2 linked regions of the Coturnix japonica genome follow. The protein of the gene in region 1 purifies or fractionates together with the protein of each later gene. This does not show direct contact. Links are inferred from orthologs where the notes say so. Each region holds a gene or a part of one and is shown on either strand. Other genes may lie near its edges.

Region 1 (7,559 bases):
CCAGCAGGTTTGATCACTTGAAGCACAACTCACTCTCTGACCTAACAGCATTTTCAAACTGCAGGAAAAAAAATAGAGGATCTTTAGTTAGCAGCAGCTTAAATGAATTCTGGGTTTCTTCCATACAACTGAAGTAGTCATCAGTGTTACATTGCATTCACATATGCACTAATATGCCAAATGCCAGCTGTGAAAGGCATTCTTTGTGTGTGCCTGAAAATGACACAGGAAAACACCAGCAATTAGCAACCTTGATGACTGTCAATTTAACTCAGAGCAGCTCATCTGAAGTTTCTGCTTTGCCAGGTGTTCATCTCACAGCATTTGTTTCCCAGTGATCAGGGAGGATGAGTTATTACTTGCCTAAGAATCAGAAAACTGTACTGCAAAAGCTGCTGCTGATTGCACCCACCTTCCAGGGAAGAGATTACTTTGTAATGTAATATGCTCTCATCACTTGAAAAGTATTAACAACCCATATTGCAACCTATAGCAATACTAGCCTATCAATAAGCACTAACAGCCTAGCCTTGTCAGCTGCAAAGAGCAATTCTAAACGGAGCAACTGAAAACTTTGTTAAAAATGCTAGATATTTCTTAGACATTCTTGATTATCTGGAAGAACTGTCCAACTTAGCTGCGAGATCTGGTTTAGTGTTTGCTGTAGCTACAATATTGGGGTGACGGTTGGACTGGATGATCTTGTAGATCCTTTCCAACCTGGTGATTCTGATTCCCCAGTGATTCTGACAGTGGCTTTGTGAGAGGCTTTAAACAAACTCTAGGCAGAAACTTGCTGAAGAAAACTGTTCTTGCCACAGAAGTGACTGTAACAGAGTAACAAGGCCAGCTCTACAAAGATTGCATTAGTATCCTGTCTTCAACCTAGCAAAGTACCTATATCCACATTGCTGATTCAACCCACCACTGTGTTGCTTTATATAAGAATGGCTGAATGATCTGCTTATGGTGATCCAAAACTCACTGAAAAAACTCCAACCCTGTCATTCCACACACAGAAGGAAGTAAGTCTATACAAATGACTTACAGGGCTCTGTGTATTTTATGACATGGCTGCTGAGCGAGGGCCTGCATACCACCCTCATGTAAATCTGCACCAGCAGAGGTGACATCTGTCACCACTGCTGAAACGCAGCATCCACCGCCTCACTGTGCCCACATCCACTCTTTGTGCTCCATAAAAGTTTAGCACACATGAAAATGCATTGCTAATGGTGGTTACCATGCTGAAGAACAGTGCTTGGTAACGGAGCATTTGCTCTACCAAGTGATCTAACTGTTGTAGTTTCCACAGACATAAACAGGAGGCATTACTTTCAGAGCAACCTATGTAGCACACACAACGATGTGAAACAAAAATATTTTAGTAAATAACAATTGCCATGATTTTCAAGTGTGGATGCTGAATCAAACTCCTGAGCAATTCTGAAAGGGTAGAGGAAGAAATTAAGCACATCTGGTCAGCTCCAAGACACAACTGCGTTCTGGACTTGACACAGACATCAGTGCTGACTGACCTTTCTCCTGTAACAGACAGGCTTACGGCACAGCAGCAGACTGGCTCCCAGCTTATCCACCACATGGGTCTGTCAGCATGAGACAAACCATCAGCTGCAAGACGGGTGTAACAGATGCCCCACACCATTAGAGAATCACAGAATTAGCAAGGTTGGAAAAGATCATCTAGTCCAACAATTCCCAATACTTCCAGGCTAAATCATATTCCTCAGCACCACATCCAAACATTTCTTGAACACTCCCATGCTCGGTGACTCCCCCACCTCCCTGGGCAGTGCATTCCAATGCCTGAATACTCTTTCTGAAAAGTAATACTTCCAAATGTCCAGCCTGAATCTCCCCTGACGCAGCTTAAAACCATTCCCTCTAGTTCTAAGTTCCAAGTTAGCAAGAAACAGCAGGTAGGGACAGAGGCGCTGTCACAGAATCACAGAATTGTAGGGGTTGGAAGGGACCTCTAGAGATCATTGAGTCCAACCCCCCTGCCAAAGCAGGCTCCCTACACCATGTCACACAGCTCGGCGTCCAGGCGGGTCTTAAATATCTCCAGAGAAGGAGACTCCACCACCTCCCTGTGCAGCCTGTTCCAGTGCTCCGTCACCCTCACTGTAAAGAAGTTCTTATTAAGGAACTTCCTATGCTGTACTTTCATCCCATTACCCCTAGTCCTATCCCCACACACTACTGAAAAGAGACCAGCCTCACCACTATGGCCCCCACACCTCAGGTATTTATAAACCTGGATCAAGTCCCCTCTCAGCCTTCTTTTCTCAAGGCTCAACAGACCCAGTTCCCTAAGTCTCTCCTCATAGGGGAGACGCTCCAGGCCCTTCACCATCTTTGTGTCCCTCCACTGGAGTCTTTCCAAGAGATCCCTGTCTTTTTTGTACTGGGGAGCCCAGAACTGGATACAATATTCCAGATGAGGCCTTAATAGGGCAGAGTCGAGTGGGAGGATCACCTCCTTTAACCTGCTGGACACACTCTTTTTAATACACCCCAGTATGCCATTGGCTACAAGGTGCTAGCAGCGTGTTAGCACCTCCCCAACCCAAGTACCGTCCTCCACATCACGGCTATGATGAGCAACGACATGAACGTGAGACAGGAGGGCCTAACCCCAACCCTAACCCTAACCCCAACCCTAACCCTATAACCCTATAACCCTATAACCCTCCTAGCATCACACCAGGACCCCCTCACACCCCACCCCTCGTGTAACGCATCCCATCGCTCTGTCCCTCCCTCCAGTGACCGCAGTGGGCACCGCCGCCGTTACAGACCCGCTCCAGGCTCCTCCTTCAGCACCAGTGAAGCAGTGCGGGCAGCGGGGCCGGCACACCGCCTGTTGTTCCCGTGCTGTTCCCCTGTTGTTCCCCGCTCACACCGGGCCCAGCGGCACCGAACCCGCCGCGCTACGACGCTCCGGCCCCGCGCTCCACCCCCGCTCCCACCCTGTCGCCGCGTCGGCCGGAAATGACGCCATATTGACGAGAGGATGTGACGTCATCTCGGAGCGCCCCCACCGGAAGTGCCGCCATTACGGCGTGGCGCCTGGCCTGTTCCTGTGTGTACCGGGTATGGCCACCGCCACGTGGAGATACCGCGGGGATCCCGAGCAGGAGCAGCCGGCAGTGCTGGGTGAGCAGAGATGCGGGATGGGCGGTGCGGTGCGGTGAGGTGCTGAGGGACTCACGGCCTGTTTTATCGCCCGTAGTGACGTTCTCCAATGGGCAGCTGCAGCGACCCGACGCCGTGCGGTTCTCGCTGTACCGGAGCAGCGAGGTGTCCAACCCCAGGAAGAGAAGGCGGAGGATCCTGGTAAGGCCCGGCATCACCGGGGGTGGGATCTATGGGGTCTATGGGGTCTCTATGGAGAATCTGTGGGGTCTCTGTGGGGAATCTGTGGGGTCTGTGGGGTCTCTATGGGGATCTATGGGGACTGTGGGGTCTCTATGGGGTCACTATGGGGATCTGTGGGGTCTCTGTGGGTCTCTATGGGGGTCTCTATGGGGATCTATGGTGTCTATGGGGGTCTATGGGGATCTCTGGGGTCTCTATGGGGTCTCTATGGGGGTCTCTATGGGGTCTCTGTGGGGATCTGTGGGGTCTCTATGGGGTCTCTGTGGGGATCTGTGGGGTCTCTATGGGGATCTATGGGGTCTCTGGGTCTCTATGGGGGTCTCTATGGGGATCTATGGTGTCTATGTGGTCTCTGTGGGGATCTGTGGGGTCTATGGGGTCTCTATGGGTCTCTGTGGGGTCTATGGCGTCTCTATGGGGGTCTATGGGGTCTCTATGGGGATGTATGGGGTCTATGGGGTCTCTATTTGGATGTATGGGGTCTCTATGGGGGTCTATGGGTCTCTATGGGGTCTCTGTGGGGGTCTCTTTGGGGTGTATGGGGTCTCTTTGGGGTGTATGGGGTCTCTTTGGGGTCTCTATGGGGGTCTATGGGGTCTCTATGGGGATCTAAGGGGTCTCTATGGGTCTCTATTGGGATCTATGGGGTCTTTATGGGGATCTGTGAGGGTCTATGGGGTCTCTATGGGGATCTCTATGGGGGTTTATGGGTATCTGTGGGATCTGTGGAGTCTCTATGGGGATCTGTGGGGGTCTTTGGGGTCTCTATGGGGATCTATGGGGTCTCTATGTGGGATCTTTGGGGTCTATGGGGTCTTTATAGGTCTCTGTGGGGTCTATGGGGTCTCTGTGGGGATCTGTGGAGTCTCTGTGGGGATCTATGGGGTCTCTGTGGGGATGTATGGGGTCTGTGGGGTCTCTATGGGGATGTACGGGGTCTATGGGGTCTCTATGGGGATGTACGGGGTCTGTGGGGTCTCTATGGGGATGTATGGGGTCTATGTGGTCTCTGTGGGGATCTATGGGGGTCTGTGGGGTCTCTGTGGGGATCTGTGGGTCTCTATGGGGTCTCTATGGGGATCTATAGGGTCTCCTGGGCAACCTGATCTAGTAAATGTGTATGTTTGGTGGCCCTGCTAGGCAGGGGGGTTGGAACTACATGATGCTTGAGGTCCCTTCCAACCTGGGTCATTCTGTGATTCTGTGAAAGTCCTAAAGATCATCCAGTCCAACCGTTCTCCTATTACCAATAGCTCCCCCTAAACCATGTCCCTCAACACAACATCCAGTCGTTCCTTGGGCACCCCCGGGGTGATGATCCTCTGGTTTGTAATGTTGCCTTCCCACAGCTCTGTGCCACTTGGCTCATTCTGACATCTAACACTTGTTCTGTAAACCGAGAAAGGCTTTGAGTAACTGCATCAAGCAACCTTAAGCACTGCGAGTAGGATGTGCAGGTGACTGGTACAGAATGCTCCTTTCCACTGCCTCTTTCACAGACTGCTCCTACTGCTTTAAAGGATGGTTTATTTATTTACTTTATAAAGTATAAAGTAAATGGAATATGTAAAGTAAAGTAAAGGAATATGATTTAGCTGAGAAATATCGGTAATGGTTGGACTAGATGATCTTGTAGGTCTTTTCCAACCTTGATAATTCTGTGATTCTATGGTGACCGTGGCAAATTTGAGCTTTGTGTCACTAGAGATACAGTACATGCAGGAAAATATGCACTTTCAAATAATGCACTCTTCAAGTAATTTTTTTCTTTGTTTGTCAGGTTTCAGAAACTGAAAGGCTTTCATACGTGGGGAATAACTTCAGCAGTGGATCTATGAAAAGCAACTCCCTATGCAGGTATGGGTAGCTGGCAACGCTGTGGCAGAAACAGGGAGGGGAAAGCAGAGGAACTGCACAAATAAAGTATTTTCTGTAGCCTTCTGTATTGGGGACTGATGAGTTCTCATTGAGACCATGGTGTGAATGGAGAGGATTGGGGCAGTTGATATAATCTCCTGGCAGCTGCACCATTTTGCATGTTGTGATCTTACACATAAGTGGAGTTTAGGTCTGCTGGAGGGAAGAAAAGTGAGAAGGTGTCTGCACATAGCTGAAACCTATGGACAACAGCATTATTCCTTCTTAACTGTTGTCTCGCTCCAATTTAGGAGTGAGGCAAAGGTTCTTTTAATAATGTTATGCCCGGCGTGAGATTAAGAAGAAGAGCATTCAAATGTTGATCCGACCAGTTTATTGGAAATAATAGACAATTGAGGGGATGGGGAAGGGAGAGTGACGAATGCCAAAATTAGGGTGATGGGGAAGGGAAAGTAGGCGATAGAAAAAGGTAGAAAAGAGCAAGAATTACGTTAAAGCGGGGAATAGTCACCTCCTGGATGCAGCAGCGTCCCGTAGCACGTTGTTAACGTTGGTCCGGGGCAAAATAAGCGTAGGGGAGAGCAGCAACGGAGTAGCAGGCTGCAAACAGCAGATCGGTGAATCGCAGAAAAGATGGTCAGAGTACCGTGGTCTCTAGAAGCAGAGTCTCGGGCAGCGAGGTCCCTCGGAGCAGAGTCTCGAGCAGCAATCCCAGAAAAGAGAATAGGCAGCAGTAGGACAACGGTGGAGGAATCTGAGGTCGGATACCTAGATGCCCACAAAACCGTGGTTTGTCCGTGCCCTTTTTATCCTTCTTTCCAGCCTTCCAGAGATTTCGGGAAGGCTCGGGTCAGAGTCCTGTGACTTCCTCAGAGATGTCAATCTTCCTTGAGATGGGCCAACAGGAAAGACCACTTAAGGGCCATTAGTCCTCAGGGATGGCCATCTTCCTTGAGATAGGCCAACACAAAAAGACCACTCAAGGGCCATTGATCAGTATCTTATCTCCCTTTCGTAGCTCCCGGACTTGTCCATCTCCTGTGTGTCTCAGACAAAGGCAGTCCTGGAACCTTGGCCAGGACTTGCCTGAACTTGTCCATTTCAGCAGACTTTGAGACAGTAATGTAAAAAGCATGGCTTCTTACAACTGTCAAGATCAGTATCTTGTTCAGGAAACCAGTGGGTCATTAGTCACCGTTTAACTTCGGGGCCACAGTCTGGTGGTGCTGTATGAATTAATAACTTGTCTGTGCCTCATGCTGCAATGGGAAGCCTTGGTGAAATCACCAGTTTTCACATGTCCTGGTTTCAGAAGGTGAACTTTGTAGCCTGGAGACAAATCCCGTGAATTCCTAAGAATTATTTTGCATGGGGGATCATTCCCATCCTCTAGCAGAATGACCTTTTGTATAGGTGGAAAACCAGTGTAAAATCATCTCACTTTGTCATATCTAACCTACAGAGCTCTGATGTACGTTTGGTGTGGGTGTCAGGCTCCTGTTAGCAAGCGCTTTGCCCCATGAATGTGCTACATTCATCCTGCAATATTTGCTCGTGGTTTATTTCTACTCTGACTATGGGGACTACTTAAAGTAGAAGTGGGGTGACACAACAAAGAGTAAACAGAATTGCAGAAACTGTTAAGATGAGGTGCTTCCAGCCATTTAATGTCCTTATGTTAGTTCTTTTGAAAGGGTCGTGATATAGATTATTAAATTTTTCTTTCCAAATACAAACTAGATGACATTTAAAGGTCCCCTCCAACTCTAAGGATTCTATGAGTCTGTTCTATGATTCTGTGGTGAGGAGCAGCACAAACTATTTGGGTTTGCTCGTCTGAAGTGTGAAATGAAAAAGATTTGACTTGCTAGAAATTAACCTATTCTAGAGATTTTAAGTTCATTTTTCTCAGCTCTGAGAGTCTCATTGGTTATCACTTGCACTTGTTCTCCCCAGGTATTTTCTTGGTGTTTTAAACAAGGATTCTGGGCAAATGGAAGTCTATAATGCTGAAATATTCAACATGCAACCTTTACTGTCAGGTAGGACAATTCTTTATTTAACCCTTTTGTGCCAAGGTCACAATGTCCTGGAAATATGTGTGCATTCAAAATTGACTAATTTGCTACTGACAGCATTGCACTCTGTTTCCTCCTAGTCTTATTTCTGCTGTGCTGCCTTAGGATGAGGGAAGAAGGATACATCACTCTGTCCACTCCTGGGGAGCAGTGTGGCATGAAGAAAGGGAGAATGAAGCAAAATCATAGCTAATATTGAGG
Region 2 (4,248 bases), on another chromosome or scaffold:
AACCTGCTTTCTACACTGGCAAACTGTGTGCCACCAGGGCACTCTGCTGTGGGCCTCTAAGCAGTGATCCAGAAACTGCCAGAAAAGGTTCAAATCAATCTCTCTGTATGCAAGAGGTGCGTCTCCTGCCAGCACAATAAGCCAAGTATAGAAGGGTGCAGTGAAACAACATTCTGACCAGAGTCTCCACATCACCACCCTGACCCCAGTTTTGTTTATTTAAGTCAGCAATTCATCTGAGCACAGGTCTGTTCAGAAGGCTGCTTCAAATTAATTCCTTTCAGAGAATTAAACTGATTCCTTATGGGGATCTTTGGTTCTCATCATAGAAATGACTCTTATATAAAAAGAGGTCAGAGCACTGCTCATCATCAGCAAGAACTCCTAGGATGGGAGAAGCTGTGGAGAAGGTCCAAGGAGGAAAAGTGGAAGGAAACTGCAGAACTCACCGTGGTTGATAAAAAAAGAAGGTTGTCTTAGAATATACTGCATGGAATAAGTTGTAAAGTGCTGAGATAAGCAGAGGATAGCTTGCTTTGTAGAAAACAATACATACACTGCCTAAGGCTGGGACTTACTTGAGTTCTTTCATGGCAATCAGCAAGGGGTCTGTCTCTCCTTCCAGCTCCACCATCACGGGTGCACACATCCTGGGACAAACAGCAACAGCCATTTCAGAGAATGTACAGAAAGACAGAAGGGCCAACATATGACTGCATGCTGCACTCTTATCCACTCTGGGACAAAGGTTATCCCCAAGTGGCTACGGATTGAGTTTTCATTTGAATGCTCTTAATCCACCCCTCATCCTCTGCAAGTCAGCTGGGACTTGAGTGCTGGTCAGAACCACACCTGTCTAGTCTCACTGTGCTGTACTTATATGTGAAGAATAAGGGCAGATCTAAAATTAAAAATAATAGAGTTGGAACACTATAAAATGGGAATCTGACTTGCTTGAATCTTCAAGGCTTCCTTCAAAGGAAAACAAAGGGCTAGATTTATAATGCACTCTATCTCTAGAGCAAAAAAACAAATGCGTTTTGGTGAGGGCTGTAACAGTAAAGCAAACACAGTTGACAACTGTCTCAGGTGGCAGCAGAAGCAACAGAAGTTCACATTATGTGTGGGTAAAGCCACTGGGGGGCTGCTGCTGGCCTAGAGTCAACATCAATAGTCAACAGAATACGGAGGTGATAGAGACCAGGCACCAGTGTTTTGTATTAAATGCCTGGCACTGGCTCATCCCATCTCTTCCATCCTTCTGGCCTGCCACCAGTTGAAACAACATGCACAGAATTCCTTCCTGGAGTGATAACCAGGCGAAGAATAGCTCAGCAAAGTGATGATTAAGCAAAGATCACATAGAAGCTCATTGGTGGTAATCGAATCAGCTTCATTTTCAGGGTGGATGTAGCTAAGATTCCTTTCAGACCAATTTCAACACAGCCTAATCATCTCACTTACACAGCAGTTTCTCAAAGATCACAAAGGTTTTAGCAGGCATTACTAAAACAGATCTGGACAGATAAAAGGAAGAATTTGAGAGGAACTTGTCTTAAGGAGTGCTTAAAAGAGGATTTAAATGTTATTACCTATTAGAAGTGATGCTCCACTATTCCAAATAGTTAGTGAACATACAGTGTGCCACAATATAACCGTATGCTTAGTATTTCAAGACAGCTGTGCCATTCCTAGAGTTCTGATAGCCTTGTGATAATAATTAATGATATTACTTTATTACTTTTATTCAGCTTCCTCAAAGCTGAACTTTGCAGTAGTAGTTCTGAGTTTCCCAGCTCATGCTGGCTGCCTTATAGAAGGCAGAAAGCAGAACCAGAATGCCACGTTACCCACTCCATCTGCTTGTGACCCACAGCATCAGCTGGGGTGAGATTCAGAACTCACGTGTGGCTGACAGCTCACAGTATTGCTTTTTATTGCTTTTCACTGTTGATGGAGATGGCGATTCCCAAGCGGAACCGCCAGGTAAAGAATCACTTAAGGCTTTAGGGAGAAAGGAAGGAGCTTTAACAGGTCAAGCCATGAGAAGCACACAGTCCTACAGCAGGGATCCAGCTAATACTCACGCGATCTGGAGGGCACGTGTGCCCAGCACTCTGGCTCTCTCATACTTGGTCATGTAGGGGGTGGTGATTCGCTTCTGGTTCGCTGCCTGGCGCTCTCCGGAGGGGAGGATCTCCACGTTCTCCTGTCCCTCCTGGGTAAAGCACAGCACGACACAGCACCGTTACGGGCTGACTCCATGACCCGGAATGATCCATGATCGGAGCCCCGCAGAGCACCCACCTCCTCCACGTTCTCCAGGTCATCCAGCCCCTCGTCTTCCTCCACATCATCGAAGTCATCCCCATCGAAGCTGTGAGAGACAGGCAAGCACACATCGCACACAGGCCGGGAGACAGCGCCTGGACTCGGACTTAGCGCTGGACCGTCTCTAAGTCCAGGCTTTGATCTCTGATCCCAGCCCCCAGCCTCAGCCCTCAGCCCTCAGCCTCAGCCCTCAGCCCTCAGCCCTCAGCCCTCAGCCCTCAGCCCTCAGCCCTCAGCCCTCAGCCCTCAGCCTCAGCCTCAGCCTCAGCCTCAGCCTCAGCCTCAGCCTCAGCCTCAGCCTCAGCCTCAGCCTCAGCCTCAGCCTCAGCCTCAGCCTCAGCCCCACTCTCACTTGTCCTCGTTGTCCGACATCTTGTTTCCTCGCTCCCCGGCGGAAGTACTACCCACTTCCGGTCGTGCGCCGTGACGTCACGTTTCCGGAAGTAAACCGGCGGCGCCGTTGCCACAGAGACAGGACGCGGCTCCGCCTGCCCCGCTGTCCCTAATTGTTCTCCCACCGTCGCCACCAGCCATGGCCTTATCGACGGGAACGAGGCCAGCGGGAAGAGGCAGAGCCCGGTACAGCCCCGAGACACGAGAGGTGCTGAGAGGTAACGGGTTATGAGGGATGGAAGGCCGCGGGGACTCGGGGAAGGCGGTTGTGGGCCCTGTCCTGGGTCCTGTGCTGGGCCCTGTGCTGGGCTCTGTCCTGGATCCTGTCCTGGGTCCTGTCCTGGGCCGTGTCCTGGGCTCTGCGGGGCCGGGGCAGCCCACTGTGCTGTGTAGTAACACGTAGCTGTTGTTTTTTAGCCCTGATGGAGGAGTCGAAGCTGACGAGTTTCCAGAGGCGATTCCTGATGGACTGTTTGAGGCGTGAGTGCTTCCCACCTGGCACTCCTTCCCCAGCACTGTGCTGAACGCTCTCTGCTGCTTGCACTGCGGCCTTCTAGTACTTGAGGGAAGCTTACAAGGATGGAGATGGACTTTTTACACTGCGTAATGGTGACAGGACAAGGGGGAATGGCTTTAAACTAAAAGAGGGGAAATTTAGGTTAGATATTAGGGAGAAATTTTTCACTGAGAGGGTGGTGAGGTGCTGGCACAGGCTGCCCAGAGAAGCTGTGGGTGCCCCACCTCTGGAGGTGCCCAAAGCCAAGTTGAGCAGCTTGACCTGGTGGATGGAAGCCCTACCAATGGCAGGAGGTTGGAACAGGGTGGTCTTTGAGGTCCTTTCCAACTTAAGCCATTTTATGGTTTTATGACCTTCTGCTGGTGGTAGGCTGGGGCCACTTGCCCAGACTCCTCTGCATCTGACATCAATATGTTGGGTTTGTTCTCCAGGGGGAGATTCTCTGCCCCTCCAATGCCACCCTACCTCCAGCCAAGAACAAGTGCTCGCGCCTCCTGCTTCCTCCCCACCGTGCCATCAGCCAAGCAAGCTGCCAGCTAAACCCCATCTTCGGCCTGCTGAGGTCTGCCGAGCAGGAGATGCCTACATCCGAGAGAAATTCAGGCCACAGGCAAGGCGTAAGTAAGCAAACATCACAGATAAATAAATCATGCTGTCCAGTTCTTCTCTTTCCCTTATGTCTAACCCCTCAGCACCTTTAGGGAATATCCTTAATTATTCTTCATGCTTTCTGTCTTCAAAGATGCTTTAAAGGGAGATCTCTGAGGGAGCGCCTGCTGCAAATGCTCACAGAGTTCTGCCTGCTGCCCAGGGGGACAATAGGTGACAGGAACTTGCACAATCCTTTGTAAGAAGAGATCACTGTGTAATTTTCTAGCTTGTAAACAAGGGTGAAACTTTAGAGCTCAGACTGGTTTGCCCATTACCATGTGTAGCAGAGTTCAGTCTGGGGCTGTGCTGTCACTTACATCATGCTTCCTCTGCCATCGTTAACAGCAAAGCAGGGC

The links.
Region 2: the proteins of POLR1E (region 1) and POLR2F purify together in Homo sapiens (affinity purification with mass spectrometry; 4 studies listed by BioGRID and IntAct, with this or other methods). This does not show direct contact. The link is inferred for Coturnix japonica from reciprocal best matches to the Homo sapiens genes POLR1E and POLR2F.

Annotation. Positions count from the first base shown.
Region 1 is NC_029547.1:66,745,839-66,753,397, reverse strand, and holds the start of POLR1E (DNA-directed RNA polymerase I subunit RPA49), read left to right. Parts: upstream 1-3,044; 5' UTR 3,045-3,119; coding exon 3,120-3,180; intron 3,181-3,256; coding exon 3,257-3,360; intron 3,361-5,182; coding exon 5,183-5,259; intron 5,260-7,236; coding exon 7,237-7,322; intron 7,323-7,559. Other genes in the region: ZBTB5 (zinc finger and BTB domain-containing protein 5), read right to left, coding at 1,539-1,666. UniProt on the Homo sapiens protein: Component of RNA polymerase I (Pol I), a DNA-dependent RNA polymerase which synthesizes ribosomal RNA precursors using the four ribonucleoside triphosphates as substrates.
Region 2 is NC_029516.1:46,598,890-46,603,137, forward strand, and holds the start of POLR2F (DNA-directed RNA polymerases I, II, and III subunit RPABC2), read right to left. Parts: upstream 2,801-4,248; 5' UTR 2,704-2,800; coding exon 2,684-2,703; intron 2,378-2,683; coding exon 2,308-2,377; intron 2,219-2,307; coding exon 2,088-2,218; intron 651-2,087; coding exon 579-650; intron 1-578. Other genes in the region: C1H22orf23 (UPF0193 protein EVG1), read left to right, coding at 2,864-2,942, 3,142-3,204, 3,673-3,858. UniProt on the Homo sapiens protein: DNA-dependent RNA polymerase catalyzes the transcription of DNA into RNA using the four ribonucleoside triphosphates as substrates.